Linked DNA regions of Caenorhabditis elegans. The protein of the gene in region 2 purifies or fractionates together with the protein of the main gene of each other region. This does not show direct contact. Each region holds a gene or a part of one and is shown on either strand. Other genes may lie near its edges. The genes, in order: F27D4.4 and T28D6.6.

Region 1 (9,013 bases), on a different chromosome or scaffold from region 2:
CGTTTCGTTTTGCCATTGTTGTGTTTTGTTCCAATATTTTATCGACAAATAAAAGATTTCAGTAAATCGACACCAGTGCTACAGTAGTCATTCAAAGAGTTACTGTAGTTTTCGCTACGGGATGTTTTGAGCGTTAAATATGTTTCGCAATATACATTCCAAAAGTTAAGTGTTCACGTAATACGCTCATATTTACGTATGCTTCTTTTCAAAGTGTTATGCGAAAAAAATTCATAGCATAAAAAATTGTTATTTCGATTTGTACATTTTCACAGAAAAATTCAAATTTGGCAATATATAATTAATTAATCACATTCTGGAAAAAATGGCAGCATATCCCTTGATGGCAAGTGGGCAAGCGATGTCCGAGTAGAGACACATTGACAGGATTCCGAGGATGAAGATAATTCCGGCCTGAAAATTAAATTCAAAAACTGAAACAAAATTAGCAGTCTACAAGTTACTTAGTTTAGAAAAGATGCAATTTTGGGCCCGAAAACTTCATGGTTACCGTACCCGCAAGTTTCTCGCTTTTTAATGTTGCTTATATCAGTATTTCTTACAATTTGAGCTTCTTTCCAAATTTTCCAGTGATTGCAAAAAACATTGAACAGAAAGATGCAAATATGCGGTAGGAAGACTTGTGGGTACGGTAACTGGGATCTTTCGGTCGCTTCGAGATAAAGTATTGTATGTCAAAAATTGCAAAATTTTGGAACCGGGTAATATTACAGGTATCTGATGAAAATGAGAATATTAACCTGAACACTATAGACAGCAATACTATCAATTGTGTAATATTCTGGGAGCTCTGGGAAATAACTCTGAAGCCAGATGAGCACAGGAAATCCAGGAATAATTGATGCAATTGAGACAATGATTAGAAGACCCGCAGCTATTATATGGTTCATCCCGCTTTTTGAAGAGATCTGAAAATCCGCATTTCCCGTTTTTACAGGAAAAATCAAAAATCAAATATTAGATGAGAATCCAACGAAGAAAAAAGATGAAAATACTTTTAGAAAAATCAATTCATACATTTATTCATAAAACACATAAAAGAACTATAGCACACTGAAAATATCTAAAACGAGCAATTGAGGGAATGTTCGACATATAATGTCAAAAACCAACACATTTATGATGATGGGTTTAGCGATTTGGACCGGAATAAAATATGGGTGATTTAAAATGCAGATGGCACCGTTTGAACAGAAAATTAGGCTAAAACAAGAAAATATTCTACTTTTCTACACGGTTTCGTTGTTACCTTGTATAATTTCTTATATCAAATACATATTCTAATAGTTAACACTCTTCTTGATTGCGTCGAAAACTCGATGAACAGTTGGCAGGTAGAATGGTTCGTGAACGTGTGGGAATGGTGTATCGAATCCAGCAACACGATCTATTGGAGATTCAAGGTTCAGGAAGCAACGTTTCTGTAATATTTTTGATTGTTAATTTATTATTTGAAAAAGGAAAGTAAAATATAAATTATTTACCTGAACAGTAGAAGCAATTTCAGCTCCAAAACCAGAAGAAATCGGAGCTTCATGAGTGACAATGAGTCGACCAGTTTTTTGAACACTCTGAAAAATAATTCATATTTAATCACTCAACATCCAAATATTACGCGAACACAAACAAAAAACGCAAAATATCTCGCAGCGAAAACTACAGTAGTTCTTTAAATGACTTCTGCAGCGCTTGTGTCGATTTACGGGCTAGATCATTGATTTATCGATAGAATATTAAAATCCAAACGGAGAAACGAACTAATCGCAAAAAATTAATTTCAAGAATCGAGCCCGTAAATCGACGCTTCAGTAGTCACTTAAAGAATTACTGTACTTTGCGTTACGAGATATTTTGCGCGTCAAATATGTTGCGCAATACGCATTCGCAGAATTTTGTAATAATTCACCTCTACTACATGATCCTCGTCCCAAGGTTGAATCGTCTGAAGATCAATAACTTCAACATCTGCATTGAGCTTCTCCTTGGCCAATTGAGCTGCTTCAAGAGCAACATGAACCTGTGTTCCCCAGGCAACAAGTGTCAAATCTTTTCCAGAACGAACAGTTTCAGCTTGTCCCAGTGGAATTGTGTAATCTCCAGTTGGAACATCTTCAGAAGCCAATCGATAAAGAATCTTTGGTTCGAAGAAAATACATGGATTCGGATCACGAATGCACGACAGAAGAAGTCCTTTGGCTTGAACTGGCCCACGTGGAACAACAAGCTTTAATCCTGGGGTATGGGTGAAGTTAGCTTCAGGACTCTGTGAATGGTATAGAGCTCCATGTCCTACGGCTCCCCATGTTGTTCTTACAGTCAGTTTTCCACAGTCAAATTGATTTCCCGAACGGTATCTGAACTTGGCTGCCTCGTTGACAAGCTGGAATAATTTTTTTTATTTCCATAATATTTATTCCGGATATTACCTGATCATAAGCTGGGAAGATGTAATCACCAAACTGAATCTCAGCAATGGCAGTTGCTCCAGCCGCTGCGACTCCAATTCCGAATCCAGCAATTCCCTGCTCACAAAGTGGAGTATTGAAGACTCGATCTTTTCCGAACTTCTTTTGAAGATCCAAACTACATCTGAAGACACCACCAAAAGCAACATCTTCACCAAAAAGAACAGCAGAATCATCTGTTTCCATTGCAATTCTCATCGCTTCATTAACAGACTGCATCAAATTCATTTTAGTCTTTTCAAGATTTTCAAGTCCTGCTGGAAGTGTGGTTGATGGTTGAAACGTGAAGTGAGCTTTTCCTCGAGTTTGGGAGATTCTGGATCCACATTTTGAGAAGAGGCTTACGGCTCGGGAACTCATCTGAAGATCGCAATAATTTTAAAATAAACTTTTATAGGATTTCCAAGTTAATTAATTTTTTCAATCAAAAGTTCACGCATTATTTGAAGATTAAAATAAAAGATAAATGAATCGGGCAAAACCGATATTTTTTCAAAATTAAAATAAATCATCTGAATTGTAATGAATTTATAACAAAACGACACCAAAAAATGGAGAAAACTTCAAATAATAGTCCCTTGTAATTTGAAAAAAATAATCAAATACAGAGAAAATTGGGACTACCGGTTAGTCGTGACAAACAAGAAATAATAATAGATAGCAGGGGAATCGGGAAAAAAGAAACACTGAAATTCAAAGCAAAAACAGAAAAAGAACAGGAAAAAAGGGGGAGCACCAGAAGTATACTCTTCAATCCTCATCAGAATCGAGGTTTTCAACGTCTTCGTCAATGTCGAACAAGTCCTCGTTGATGTCCATCTTTGCCATTCCTGCAATTTTTGAAATTAGTTTTTGAGATAGTGTGTCGGCTCGCCACAAGAGACCCAGACACAATAAAGAAAACGTTTTTTTTTTTGCAAAACGTGTGTCTGTGGGAAAGGGAGAAATTCAATTGATTTTTGCCGAAAGATAACAGATTTTGAAGTGACAGCCAAAATGATGTTTGAATTTTTTTGTGTTGATAAGAATGAAATGAGGATATTGACAGCCAGAGAAAAGCCACGTGTCAAAAATAGTTTTTTAACAGAAAAATTAGCCATTCAAATTTGACGAAAATTGTTTTTTATTTACGCACTGAAAAAAATTACCTTTAGCAGTAGATTCAACAGCAGTCGAGGATTTGCTCATTTGATCCGTCAGTTCATCGTCCATTCCGTCGAATTTGAAGAAGTTGGCATCGATTTCAAATACCTTTTCATTCTCCTGAAATTATTTAAATTTTTGTAAAATTAAAATAATTAATTTCAAAAACTAACATCAACTTCTTCCTTCTCCATCTCAATATCTCCGGCCTCGTCGTCGTCGTTGTTGACCAGATTGGCGTCATATAAGAAAAGATCACGTCCAGACATTCCATTCTAAAAAAAGAAAACATTAATTTATGTAAAGAGACGAGAAACAGAAATTAAAGTAGTAAATTTAAATAAAAATTCAAATTTCTTACATGTTTTCCAGATTTGATCTTCTCTTTCTTTTCTTTCAAATCGGCTTCTTCTTTCTCTTTTCGCTCTCTTAACTTCTTCTTCTTCCAGGCAATGAAGGTTTGGAGTGTTAATTTTGTGAGATTTTTCGAACTCAAAGCGGCTCTCTGGAAATGTTAAACTATAATTCTTACGAAAAATTGGAATAAAATTTAATTTATGTGGTCTTTCAAATTGAAATAACTTTTAACAATGTTTTTGCCACTATTTTCCCCTATAAGTATACCTCTTTCTCAACAAGTTCCTCAATACTAATTTCATCTTCTTTTTGTTGCTCCATTGCTTTCCGTTCCTTTTTCAAAACATATCCTTCTGGTAGACAATGCCGATATTGACATTTTTCTCCTCCATTCGGACATTCCCAAAACCAACCGTACTTGTTGTTCTCTACAGCTTCCAAGAAGTACTTGCAAACCTTAAAATTCAATTTTTTAAACTTAAAAATGTCTGTCATGAAACTGCTTACAATATCAATCATATGTTTATTTTTATTTTTCTTATTGACCACTTCATTCAATTTGTCCGAGTCCCAGTTCTCGTTTGTTTCTTCTGGAATGCTTAGAAATTACAAAAAAAAACGTTTAATTTGGTGCAAACCGTCTTTTTCGACTTCTCTGCTGTCTGCATACAGGTTCTTCTTCGCTGTCTTCTGAGCAACTGCCAAATCGTGACTGAATTTGCACTTTGCTCCTTTTCCGCAAAGACCTTGTTTGAAGAATACACAGAGAAGAGATTTTGGATCGACATCTGAAAAATTCACAACAGTTTAATTTTTTTCGATCTAAAAGTGGCAACCTTTTGCGACTTTTTGTTCCACAGGTTTCAAAAGATTGGCAATATCGAGAAGCTCGTCTTTTTCTTTTTTTTTAGCTGCTTCTTGTTGTCGGACAAGATCCATACGAGTATTGTTGTTACGGACTTGATTTTCAACTTGTGCCACAAACTTCTGGTTTTTATTTCCTTTCTTGTTTTTCAATCCGAACGTCTTGTCCTCGATAACTTTCTCCTTGCGCTTTTGCTCGGACTTTTTACTAGGCCCTTGTTGCTTCGGCGGCATGGTTGCAGATCTTAATTTAAAGGTTTGCATATTTATTTTTAAAAGTTTCAATCCTAAATTAGCATATAAAAAATGAAGAAGATTTGATAGGCATTTGGAAATAAAATAAAAAGTGGCAGAAAATATAATTTCACAATATTTCACAAAAAAAATCGATAATAACTTCAAAAAGGAGCTTAAAACAGGTTAAAAACGTGTTCAGTGATCGCTGAAAAAACATTGCATCGAGAAATGCGTCAATGAAACGGGAACTGCGCCAGTGATGTCTCGTTCGCGCATATTGTGATTTTATTCTCTTAACTTTTATTTTATCGGTTTTATTTGTATTTTGATTATTTATCAACGTTTTAATCGAATTTTTACATTTTTCAGTAATGTTTGGCAGTGTTCACCGGAACAGTGATCCGGAAAACCCAAACAATCTCAATGGGCCCTCTATTTCTCAGGAATCACCTTCGCAGCCTGTAAGTCGTTTTTATCACATTGAATTCTTATCAAAAACCAAATAAAAAACAAAGATAGATTTATGAAAAATGTTTCAGACAGTGACAACAGGAATGTCGTGGGAGCTTCGAGTTCAATCGTTCGTCGGGCTCTTTATTTTGTCAATAATCGCCAGTTTCTGTGTAAGTTATGTTTTTTGAAATGAACATGAAATTTGTAATCATAAAAATTAAGCTTGATAGTCCGTCTGTAAATATAATTCATTTATGCTTTCAGGGAAGCTACCTCCTTCTCCTCACAAAAATCACCGGTTTCTGTATAATGACTTCAATCAGTGCAATTCTTTCCCTTTCGAGCACGTGCTGCTTAATGGGACCAATCGGACAAATCAAGAAAATGTTCGATAAAAGTCGTTGGATTGCCTCATCTATGTATATTTTGTTCATTTTTCTAACATTACTTTCCGGTCTCGTCCTGAAAAATTCTCTTCTCGCAATAATTTGTACTGCTGGACAGTACATTGCAATGGCTTGGTACTCACTTTCATACATTCCTTATGCAAGAGAAGCTGTCTCAAAGATCTTCTTCTAAATATTTCATGTTGAATACTTATTGAAATTATTTTACCCTCGACTGTCCCATTTCCCTTTCTATTATTAATTTTGAGATTTGCCATCATCCGGTTGTGAGAGCTTTTACCTAATCTATTGTGATTGTCTGTACTTAAATTTTAATTCACCATGATTTCACAGCTTCTGTCGCCATGATATCAGCATCAATTGCTTCATAATTCTTATTGTATAATATTGAATAAAGCTATCAATTACCATTAAAAAATCCTTGCCAATTTTAATGGTGAGTTTCATTTATTTTGAAATTTTAATGGCTCCAACATTAGGACTCGAATTTCTTTAAGGCAATTTTTTGTAAATATCAGTTAATCTATGAAAAGTATTTAGAGAGACGCGTTTCTTAATTAGAGTACTGTTTAAAGGCGCACGTGCCGGCGGGCAACCTTTCTGAAAAATTTTCAATCGCTGTGAGACCCGCCCTCGGTTTTTAATTAAGCCACTGCAATAAATGTAAGCTACTGAGAGTATTTCATCCAATAAAAAGCAAAATACATTACCTCTACACATTTTTGTCGCCTCTTATGTCCTCCTGATAGTACACTTATTTCTCTTGGATGGACTCCCTTAGGCTAGCCATTTTATCAGTTCCATCAGAAAATGGCCGCTTCCGTGGCACAGGTAAAGCGCGTCAGGTTAGTGGCAACCTGCCAGCAGGTCGCTGGCTGCTGAATGGAGAACAACTGGCAGGTGAAATCGCGGCCCGCTGTCAAGTTGACACTAAGCCGCCGCGGGCCGGTAACAGGTCAACGTCAGGTTTGTGTCAGGTTCTTGTAGATTCTGTATTAGGTCCATATATACCGGGAATACTGCTTTTTGTTTATTAAAATGTTTGTTTATTAAAAAAATTGCCAAAAATTGTGTTTATTCAACATGAAAAATGAAAAAATAAATCTGAAAAAAGGGAAAAAAACATTAATATTATTTAATATTTCGGCTTAGTGTGAGCCTCGTCTCGATTCCCGATTCCTTGGATCCATCATTAGCAGCCACTTGGTCGAATTGTTGATTCGGTGATTCTAAGCAGCATCAGATGGGCGGTAACGTAGAAAATGATCATCTATCAGCGACAGCTCGAGGAGTTTGACAGCATTCCGCATCTTTCTATAAAAAATTAACGTTAAAGTTGAGAGAAATCGCTAGTTTTTTCCAAACGCTAAAAAAATTATGATTTTAAAACTCACTTTGTAAGGTTAATTCTCTTTGCAAATCATGATCCGAGCCAAGATAGTGTGGGCTTAGCGACAACAAATTCGAACTTTCCAATCAAGAATCGCTCCATCAAAATAATGTCGGGTACTCGACTGGTGGGAAGATTTCGTCGTATTTTCTAAAATTTTTAAAATTTACATTACATTGAAATATTTTATTATGAACATACACTATGATCATCATCGACGTCATTCCAACCAGTTGAAATCGCATTTTATCAATATTGAACATTGGGAGAGCAAGGTCCACGAGGATCACCGCGATATGAAATGTTTCCTTTTGGAAATTGTACTCTTTCACGGCATCGCTGAACCAATCGATGAGAATTGTTCGCATCTCTTATTAACTTGTGTTTGCCTGTCAAAGTATTCGCGTGAGGCTCGATTCTTCTACTTTCTTTTGAATCTACTTCACAGCTTCTTCATTTTTTAGTTCCTTTTTACGTTGATTTTCATCAAAATGGAAGGATGAGGTGGTTTAGCGGACGCTTGTGGTCAATGTCGAAGAGGCGACGACTCTGCACGACTCTGAAAACATAAATTGTTATAAATAACTTCATTTTTGAGTTCAACTTTAACCTTTTCTTCCATCTTTAGTTCTTCGCGAAGCAATGTTGTCGCCACCGCCGGTAATTCTCTCATCCAGCCATTTCCGTGCCATCCCAATCGTTCGCGTCAATGTCGAAAATGCTGAAACACCAATAAATATACGGAAAATAATTATTTTTGCCGAAAAATCAAAGAATTGATGAAGAAAACAAAGAAAAATCGAAGAAAAGGAAGAAAAAATCGTGAAAAAATAATTTCGAAAATGAGGAGGATTTACGCTAAAGAGGGCGCGCTACCGTTATTTCGGAGTGTCGTTGCCATCTGAGTTTAGAGCTTCTTTTGAAATGCTTTCTCGCTCTTATATTGAAGTCGTAGAAAAGAAAAAATCACTTTGAGTCGTAAATGTGATTTGTGATTGAAACCAACAAATAATTGAAAAAAAATTGAGTTCAGTAAAATGTAATTAAAAATATTTTCCACTATTTTAAAATTTTGATAAGGGTCCCCCCTTATGAAACATTTTTGGGAAAAAATTGTTCTTCCAAAAAAATTTAATACTGCTGGATTGTGTAGGAAATGTAAATTTTAGTATTTTCCACAGTTTTCATGGATCAATCATACTCCTGGGCAAAAAAATACAACAGTCGATTTGGCTTGTTCATAGAAAGTCAGTACTTCCAAAACGTTCTAGCTCCGCAGGCAGCTGAAATATGAAAAACTTGTCAACTAAAAAGTTGTTAGGAATAACGGGATTGACAAATTACTTATTGTAACTTTTTGCCTTCTCGGATGGCTGAGCAGGTAGGAGCACCTAATTATGAGTCAAATATTACTATTTTTGACTTATGATATCTCCGTACTCTGCACAGAAAGCAAGAAACTATGAAACATGAAACATGTTCTATAACAACCTGATCAAGTTTGTAGTTGACAGTTTTTTGATATCTTGCTTGCCCGATGTGGGACATGACTTCGAAAAACTGGCATAGTAGGTAGATCAGTTAGAGGAATAGAGGTTTTTACAGTTTCTTAGTTTTCGAAAGCACCACATTTGGCAAGAAAGTACATAGATGCAGTTAGGGAAACATATTTTTAC
Region 2 (9,368 bases):
GATGATCTACCGGTGGTGGATATGCGAATGCGACAGGTGAACACCGAGGCGAAACTCTACACCGGCGACAGTTATGAGGTAACTGATTACACCAGAAATAGTCTTAAATCACGTGGTGTCAGGCTGTCCCATGTCGGTTTGATCTACGTAGATCTACGAGAATCGCGGAAATTTATACACAGACATCTCAACTGATTTCACATGGTTAGGAACGTGCTTACGTCACATTTCTTTGGGAAAAAATTCCGCATTTTTTGTAGATCAAACGGTTATGGGACAGGCTGACACCATAACGAAAAACGTAAATTGCGGAAGAATTCTGTCCAAAATGCGAACTACACCCGCCAAGCAGCGATTCGCTCCGCCCACTTCATCTGATTGGTTCAAAAGTAGGCGGGGCGAATCGCTGATTGGTCGGTGATCTCTCAGAGGGAATATAGCCTTGGAAATTGGTCGCGACAACTTTTAAATAGATAAGCTCAAAAACGAGATTCAGGAGTACTTCAAGCGACGGATCTCGACTATAGTCTCCCATTACTGTCAGCACAATGCGAATGAGTGCCCGGGTGTTACTCTACGCATGAGTCATGTGAGTCAGGTATTGCACGTTTTTTTCTTCTTCTTTCCTTTTCTATCGCAAGTAGCCAAAGCTTTTCATCTAGAAAAAGCCTTAAAATTGCTGAAATTGGCTGAGCAACGTCACGCACGATTATATTCGATTGATTTGCAAAAAATCAACCATTTAACCCACGTATTCGTCGTCGTGATCACTTTTTACCAAAATGCTCGGTTCTCTTGATTTTCTCTGATTAATTATATTATGTTTTATGCATTGTGGGGTTTTCCACAACAAAATCCACCAAATTTTTGAAGGAAATGCTCCAAAAATTGAGCGATGAAGAGGCCGACGAGCTTGATCTAGACAGATCGGTCGTGTATGCCGAGCGTGACGAGTCGGACCCACTTTTCACAAAGGTGTGCATCATTCTTTGCGAATAAGCAGCGGTGGGCGGCAATCGCCGTTCGGCAAATTTTTTTGGCGACAAATTTGACAAATCGACGAATTGCCGGTTTTCTGATTTGCCGGAAATTTTCAATTCTGACAATTTGCCGATTTGCCGGAAATTTTCAATTTCGGGAACTTGCCGATTTGCCGGAAATTTTCAATTCCGACGATTTGTTGATTTGCCGGAATTTGAATTCCGGCAATTTGTCGATTTGCCGGAAACTTTCAATTCTGGCAATTTGCAGATTTGCCGGAAACTTTCAATACCGGCAATTTGTCGATTTTCCGGAAATTTTCAATTTCGGGAATTTGCCGGAAATTTTCCATTTCGGGAATTTGTCGATTTGCCGGAAATGTTCAACTCCGGCAATTTGTCGATTTGTCAAAAAGTTTCAACTCCGGCAATTTGCCGATTTGCCGAAAAAAATCGTTTGCCGCCCACCTTTGCGAATAACGGCTTTACTTCTACACCTAGGATCCTTTCTTTCGGCTTTTCTGACAGCACTTTTTTGCAGGAAAATGTTGTGATTCTTCGTATGGACCATTTGAAGGGTAATCTCACCAGATTACTCTTCGTTTTGACGAAAAACGATAGGAATAATGGAGTGGTGAATGAGGATACGATTATTGATCCGATTAAGGTAAATCATCTCAGCTTTCTTTTTGCTAATAATCCACAATTTCCAGATCAAATACATCATTGCCAGTCAAGTGGGACCACTTTCTCGCGTGCTCGGAGGCATCAAAATCGACAGTGTCCGCACGGCGAAGATGAAGCGGAACTACGCAGTGCCAGCGGCTGGCGCTCTGAGCTACATTACTCCAGAGCAACGGCTGGACAATCAGAAGAGCAATAAGACGTTGATCACCATCGTCTGTGCGATTGCCACCTTTTTCGCTGCCACCTACTGCATCGCATTGATTCAATGCTTCCGGTGGGTGAGACGGAAGAGTAAAGCTAAGCGAGAAGCTAAGCTGGCAGAGACGAGCCATGTCGCTTCAGTTGATGCGAAGAATTATGGAACTTGTGAGAGCCAGAAGCGGAAGCCATCGAGGAATGGGCACATGGTGCACGCCGAAGAGACAATCCCACTGACCTATGGCCAGATTGATGAGATTCCAGACGTGAGTTTATTCGTTTTAAAGGGCGTGTTCAAATTGAACGAAATTCGAATTGAAACTTTTCAAAATTCGTTTGATAAAACCAAGCTATTTTTAGCTAAATTTAAAAAAAGTCTTCTTACGAAATTCGTTTAAAGGACAACTCGCAGTCTCTTCCGCAGAGACAAATGCGAAATTGGTTCAAGTGCGACGCTTCCCAGCTTCCACGAGAGCCAACGTATCCGACAAACTTTGTGGACTCATATCAGCACCAGCCAGCGGCTACAACTACAACGCCGAAGCCGACGGATGACTTGAAAGGATCGAAGGAAGAGTCGCCGGTGAGTTTTCAACAAATCAAGTAGCTATTTATTGATTATCTCTAATATCTTTGTAGATTCTCACAAAGCGAACTGAGAACAATGGGAATCTACACAAAAACGTGTCACCAGTCCTTTCATCTCAAGCCACCACCAGCTCCGAAGCGATATTCCCACCGTCGAAGGATTTCTCCGACTATGTCGAGGATCAATATCACAAGAGCAGAGCCTCATCGAGTAGTCCGACGGACGAGATTCCAAAGTCTCCAATCGAAGATCCATGGGATGACGCATCGGGTAAATATGCTCCGCCGATGGTCCTACTGCAGTCCGACACTCCGGATCTACCGCTGGTGATGCAAAATCACACAGGGAAGCGGTATGAGGAAGACGAAGTGGATACGGATTTGAAAGGACTGCGGAGTGGTGGAAGTCCAGTATTTGCAAGGCCAAGGTCTCGGAGAGGAAGTCGAATTGATGAGATGGAGGGGCAGTTAGATATTCCAGAGTTGAAGCCGTTGAGGTAATTTTAGATCCGGATAATTCGTAACATTCTCCCGATATTCATCAATATTTCTAAGAAAAAATTCCCAAAAATTCAGATCCGACGACCCTCTGGCCGAACCACTCGACGCGCCGGTTCCGATCAACAGCATCAAAGGATCCGTCGACGAGGAGGATCGGTGGTCTTCGAGTGAGGAAGGCGAAGTCGACGTTTACTATAAAATGAGCGACGATGAGGATGTGACGCGGGAGGAGTTGGACTGGAAGAAGGCGATGGCGAAGGCCGAGCTGGTGAAGGAGGCCGAGTCGCAAGGAAGGATGCTTCCAGGGTCGGAGGATCAGCAGGATCTCAAGGATTTGAACAAGAAACGAACAGAGACACCTCCATCCTCTCCGATTCAGAATCATATTCAGAATCACTTGAATCACAACACCGAGTCTGATTCGGAAGGTGAGATTTTTTGAGATTTCAAGTTTTTTTTTTGAAAAATCTAACTTCTAAACAGTGTTCTTTTCTTCTTCTTTTGGGATTTCTCTCTCTCTCTCTCTATTCCTTAATCACTTTCAGAAGAGGAAGAGCCCGCCAGGGTACAGGATGACGGAAAAGACGCCGAAATCGCCGAAAAAGATGACGATTTCGTGTACGAACGTCTCCGAGAGGAACTTTCTCCCCAGCCTCCGATTGTCGTGGATTTAGACACTGACTTAGATTTTGTGCCGATGAAGGTAACACCATTTTTTGTCACATAAATTTACTAACTTTCCGATTCTTGTGCCTGATGTGCTTTCTAACAGTTCACCAATGTTTTCCGCACAGCTTGAAAATTCTCTAGAAAAACCGATTTTCTAGCTCAAAACTGTGTAATCTTGAATTTACTGAGAAACTGCAAATTTCCCTTAGAAAAATGGAGTTTTTTTAAGACAGAAATTCTGGAAATTCAGTTTGACCTCTCGATTTTCAGCCAAAAATCTATGTTTTCAGCTAAAAACATCAATTTTACGCCAAAAAATCTGAATCTTCAGTTGAAATATTGAAATTTCAGCAAAAAAACTTTGGGATGAAAATGATGAACTTGGAGCCAAAATCTGTTATTTCGAACTCCAAGTCTCAATTTCCAGCAAGAGTGGGAGAAATGAGCTGTATGGGATTTATGTATTAGAGGAAAAGTTTTACATTTTCAGCCAAAAATCCCCATAATTTCATCCAGAAAACCCATAATTTTTTACCGGAAACCTCAATTTTCCAGCTAAAAATCCCCCATTTTTCCGCCAAAAACCTCCAATTTTAGGCCAAAAAAATCCTCAATTTTCCAGCTAAAACCTCCAAATTTTCCAGTCAAAAACCTCCAATTTTTTCGCCCCAAAAACCTCAATTTTCCACCCAAAACTTCCAATTTTTGCAGTCACTACCACCACCGCCACCAGGAATGTTCCCTGATTCTCCACCAGAATCCGGTTCGGGATCCAATAATCAAATGCATCATCAACGGAGTCAGGAGATGAGCGAAGAGGATGAAGATGATCTTCGATAGCGTTTTTGATCCATCATTTTCCCCCCATAAATATATGTATTTTTTGCCTTTTCAAATTGCTCAAATCAATCTTTCGACCCCTTTTTCTTTTCCCCCCCAAAATTTTTATATTTTCCTATTTATTAAAAATTGTAAAAAAATACTTAAAATTTTAAAAACCAATTTTTCGTCGTTTCTCGCTTTTTATCACCCCGGTGTAGAATAAAATTAGATTTTTTTTGGCTCGTAGTAGATTTTTTTTATTTTTTCAAAATAAATTACCCTCTCTTTCCCCCAATCCCGTGTGCCTGTAAGTTTTTGTGAATTCGCAAAAAATAAAGTTTTTTGACCGATCTTTCGGGAAAAAAAAATACAATTTTTAAGATTTTTTCAGGTTAAATTGTGGGTTTTCACAAAAATATCACATTTTTGCGGAAATTTAGAAAAAAAATTTCAAGAATTTTTTTATAGCTTCTAGTCCATTTTTAAAATAAAATTTATCAATTTCCGAATTTTTTTGGGTATTTTTTTTTTCAGAAAATGCTCATTTTTATTGGAGAAATGTTGAAAAATTTACATTTTGAGTGGTTTTTTAAAGATTTTTATCGGAAAATCTGCAAAATTAAGGAAAATATGATGCTGAACAATCTTGGTGGGATCAATTTTCGCCATTTTAATTTATTTTTTGAGATTTTTTGTCAAAAAATAGATGAGAACTATTCAGAACCTTTTTGACGATTTTTATGAGCTATGTTACACATTTTCAGTGTTTTTTCCAGATATTGCCATAAATTTAGAGAAAATTACAATTTTTTGGTAATTTTTTATTGCAAAATTCCACTAAAAACACACCAACAAATCCGATACGGGCGTCTCCGGTCTTTGCGACGTCGAAACCCTCTCCTGGACCACCGCCACCGCCTTTTGGAGTGATCAAATCACGACGGAGCTTTGCGAGTTTTGCCTGGACAAATATAAATGAATTGGTGGATTTTTTGGCGGAAAAATTAAAAAAAATTTCGATTTTTTTTTGCAAAATCCTCCTCTTACCTTCAGAATACCCAAGTGAGCGTTGGTGGCCTTGTTCTTTTGAGTTCTAGCCATCTGAAAATCATTTTATTCTCAAAATTTGCATTGAAAAGCTTCCGCGTGCTCACCTCGGCCTCGATATCCGCGATTTTTTGCAAAACCGACATTTTCAACGGGTTTTTCGGGTTTTACAGGTTCTGTAATAGTTGAATAGTGATTTATAGGCACTTTGTGAGCAAAATAAGCAAAAATTAGACGGAAAAATTAAGAAAATCGGTGAAAAACGAGGAAATTAGGGGTGAATTAGTGGAAAATGCACTTTTTGGAAATTGCCAAAGTACGCAAACACCGAGCTGTTTTGGTTGCGTACTCGGCGCCACATTTGACGAAAAATATTTATTTATTTATTCTTTCCTCAATTTTGAGCTAATTTTTTGCATATTATGGATATTTCAAAGCTAACCGACGTGAAAAAAGTTGATTTATGTAAAAAGTGAGTTAATTTTCACATTTTTTCAAAAAAAAAATCTAATTTCCCTATTCAAAAAATCGATTTTTCCAGGTATTTCCTGATCGGCGCGTGTTTTCTGCCGCTCGTATGGATTGTCAACACATTTTGGTTTTTTTCCGACGCGTTTTGCAAACCGATCAACGCACATCGACGACAGATTCGGAAATACGTGATCGCCAGCATTGTTGGCTCGATTTTCTGGATTATTGTGCTCAGCGCCTGGGAAATCTTTTTCCAGGTAGAAAAAATCAGAAAAATTGAATACTTTTGCTGGGAAATATTTTGCTGGAAAAACGCTTTCCTTAAAAGTCTAATTTTCACTGAAAATTGAAAAAAAAACCAAAAGTTCGAAGTTTTTGGAGAAAAAACTTCAAATTCAAAAATTCTTCAAAAATAGAACTTTCCCAAATGTTTTCCTAAAAATTTAGCGAAAAAAAACGCAGAAAATTTGCACAAAAACATGTTCATACTCTAATTTTTCGATTTTTTTCTGAAAAATTCAAAAATTTCAGCACTACCGCGCTCAAGGCCTCGTGTGGACCGATTTCCTGACATTTGTCTTCCCGACGGGACGAGTTTGAAGCTCAAAATTCCAATTATTGATTGATTTTTCTCCACTGGTTCTTATCGTCTTCTATTTTGATCTCCTGGCGCTTCTGGGCGTTAAATTTGATGTATTTATTGTTTCAATATTTATTCTCACCGATTAATAAATGAATATGTCCAATTATATGTTTAATTTTTAATTTTCGGCAAAAAATCATCACAGAAATCGATTTAAATCTAATCCAAGACTAACAAAAAACATTTAAAAAAAATGGCTACCGTAGCAACTTTAAAGGGGGGCATCGTTTTTGTATAAGCTTGGTCTCGCAGTGAAAGCATGTGTTTGGGATATGCGCCTTTAAGATTACTGTAGCAATTAAAATTGTAAGGAAAAAATCAATAAATCAATAAAAAAGAGTGAAAATCAATAAATTTAAAGAAAATTTTTAAAAAAATCAGTTTTTCAAAGAATCCTCGTCTTCGTCATCCTTGGTGCTTATGCTCATCGCCGATAAATTCGATTCGTCAATTATTTCCTGTTCATAATCTTTTGGCTGACATTTCAGCAAATCGACACGTGGCAAATCCATCTGAAAATCGATAAAATTAAGTTTTTCCGCGTTTTTCCATAAGAAAATTATCAAAAGCAGCGATATTATGCAGCTGTGCCTTTTAAAATCGAGATGCAAGCGCGCTCCAAGGCCAAGTAAAAGCGTTCCGCCCCGAAACGTTGGGTCCCGGTAGGTATTAGCGAAACTCTGTGAATTTAAACGTTTTCAGATAGTTTCGTTTCATTTTTGATTGTTTTCGATGATATTTTGCCACAATTGAAGAAAACAAACTTTTTTTTTTCAATTTTCGAGCTAGCTCATGAACTCACCTGTTGCTCCGGTACACTCCACGGTTTCCACGTAGGATGATGTTTCTCCTTCCACTCTGGATATCCCAAACATGCCTTGTGCAACTTCTTTATAACCTTCGGCGCCACCACCTTCGTAACTCTGTTCACAAGCCACGTGGGAAGTTTTCCCTTTGGATCCGAATGACTTATATAGATAACTTCACATCCTTGCTCTTTTTCTTTGATTAGGTATCCGGAAATGAGCACCGTGGCTCGAATACATCCTTTTGCCGGTGGATAGTCTTCGTGGCATACCGAATGTGAGCAGATTAGACGGTCTTTGTCGGTTTCCAGCCAGCTTCGTTGCATTACGAAATCGCGTGGGCGGATTGGTGATACAGAGTTTACTGGAAATAAAATCATACAATGTTAGCACGTGGTGTCAGAGTGTCCCATTACGGTTTGATCTACAAAAAATGAGGGAATTTTTTGCCCAAAAAAATGTGACGTCAGCCCGTTCTTAACCATGCGAAATCAGTTGAGAACTCTGCGTCTCTTCTCCCGCATTTTTTGTAGATCAAGCCAAAATGAGACACTCTGAGATCACGTGTGTTAAATCCGAAAAAATCAATAATTCTTCAAAAAAATCGATAAAGTCCAAAAAAAACTTACATGAATAATAGCAAACATCATTATTTGGATTAATTGTACCAATCGTCTCTTGTTTTATCATGTACTTGTCCCATTTTGCTCGATAAGCTGGAAAAAGGGAATTTTACAGAAATTCCCAATACAGTACCACTACAGTACTCCTACAGTACCAACGAAGTACCACTATAGTATAACTACAGTACCCATGTGATCACCCTACAGTACCACTACAATACTCCTCGAGTCCCCCTACAGTACCATTACATTATCCTACAGTTCCACTACAGTATCACTACAGTACCCTTCTGATCCCCCTACAGTACCAATACAGTACCACTACAGTATCATTACAGAACCCCTCTAGTCCCCCTACAGTACGGCTACTGTACCAATACAGTATCACTACAGTACTGCTACAGTACCCCTCTAGTCCCCCTACAGTATCATTACACTATCCTACATAACCACTACAATCCCCTACAGTATCACTACAGTACCTCTCTAGACCCCTACAGTACCACTACAGTACCACTACATTATCATTACAGAACCCCTCAAGTCCCCCTACAGTACCAATACAGTACCCCTCTGATCCCCCTACAGTACCAATACAGTACCCCTCTGATCCCCCTACAGTACCAATACAGTACCCCTCTAGTCCCCCTACAGTACCACTACAGTACCACTACAAGATTCCTACTGTGCCCCTCTAGTCTCCTACAGTACCCCTACAGTACTGCTATACTACCCCTACAGTACCCCTAGAGCACTTCTACAGAACCAAAACAACTAACCTGAATCATGTAACACATCATAGACAACTGTTGCAGAAACATCTGGAAGTTGTGCAATAGCCTTAATCATTTGATAACTACTTTTCTCGATATTCTGAGTGCATATTGTGATATCCTTCTTCTTGTAAACTTCTACCCATCCTTCACTATCCTCACAAAGATTTTTCACTTTTTCATAATCCGAGTCCTCCCAAACTCTTGCCACATTGACCCGCATGAGCTTCGAAGTCTGAAGTAATGAATTTTAAAACAAAAAAGTCTGAAAAAGAAACGGAAGCAGCACAAAAAAGTGGAAGTCGGTGGCAAATGAATGACAATTTTGGAAAAAAAACCAGAGACGCAGGAAGGAGTCCTGAACTTTGTGTCAGCTCAGCTGTGAGCTCACGCACTGTTTGCTCGCGACACGTGGCCGAGGTTTTTCTTGCACGGCCACGTGTCGTGTAAGCTTGATGCCCGAATACGTTGCTTTTTGGAGGAAATACGCGGGCGGTCGCCGCCCATAAAAATCATAAATTTTTAAGAGGGGCGAACACATTTGTTGCGGGGGCATTGAG

What was found.
Region 1: the proteins of T28D6.6 (region 2) and F27D4.4 fractionate together in Caenorhabditis elegans (co-fractionation; one large-scale study listed by BioGRID). This does not show direct contact.

Annotation. Positions count from the first base shown.
Region 1 is NC_003279.8:7,721,100-7,730,112, reverse strand, and holds F27D4.4 (Zinc finger CCCH domain-containing protein 15 homolog), read right to left. Parts: upstream 5,095-9,013; 5' UTR 5,085-5,094; coding exon 4,823-5,084; intron 4,775-4,822; coding exon 4,625-4,774; intron 4,577-4,624; coding exon 4,494-4,576; intron 4,443-4,493; coding exon 4,254-4,442; intron 4,135-4,253; coding exon 3,991-4,134; intron 3,905-3,990; coding exon 3,803-3,904; intron 3,750-3,802; coding exon 3,635-3,749; intron 3,542-3,634; exon of another isoform or gene 3,474-3,541; intron 3,317-3,473; coding exon 3,237-3,316; 3' UTR 3,001-3,236; downstream 1-3,000. Other genes in the region: F27D4.8 (Chromate transporter), read right to left, coding at 310-414, 762-911; bckd-1B (2-oxoisovalerate dehydrogenase subunit beta, mitochondrial), read right to left, coding at 1,302-1,442, 1,506-1,592, 1,928-2,401, 2,448-2,846; F27D4.7 (Vesicle transport protein), read left to right, coding at 5,459-5,548, 5,627-5,710, 5,805-6,119.
Region 2 is NC_003281.10:11,337,441-11,346,808, forward strand, and holds the start of T28D6.6 (Developmentally-regulated GTP-binding protein 1), read right to left. Parts: upstream 5,669-9,368; 5' UTR 5,639-5,668; coding exon 5,600-5,638; intron 5,547-5,599; coding exon 5,493-5,546; intron 5,407-5,492; coding exon 5,295-5,406; intron 4,808-5,294; exon of another isoform or gene 4,464-4,807; coding exon of another isoform or gene 4,335-4,463; intron 3,658-4,334; coding exon of another isoform or gene 3,500-3,657; intron 3,383-3,499; coding exon of another isoform or gene 3,030-3,382; intron 2,951-3,029; coding exon of another isoform or gene 2,505-2,950; intron 2,449-2,504; coding exon of another isoform or gene 2,266-2,448; intron 2,132-2,265; coding exon of another isoform or gene 1,694-2,131; intron 1,648-1,693; coding exon of another isoform or gene 1,522-1,647; intron 976-1,521; coding exon of another isoform or gene 874-975; intron 599-873; coding exon of another isoform or gene 497-598; intron 79-496; coding exon of another isoform or gene 1-78. Other genes in the region: T28D6.5 (CUB domain-containing protein), read left to right, coding at 1-78, 497-598, 874-975, 1,522-1,647, 1,694-2,131, 2,266-2,448, 2,505-2,950, 3,030-3,382 and 2 more; Gamma-secretase subunit pen-2, read left to right, coding at 5,915-5,964, 6,034-6,220, 6,495-6,563; strt-10 (START domain-containing protein 10), read right to left, coding at 6,984-7,118, 7,409-7,776, 8,042-8,128, 8,815-9,031.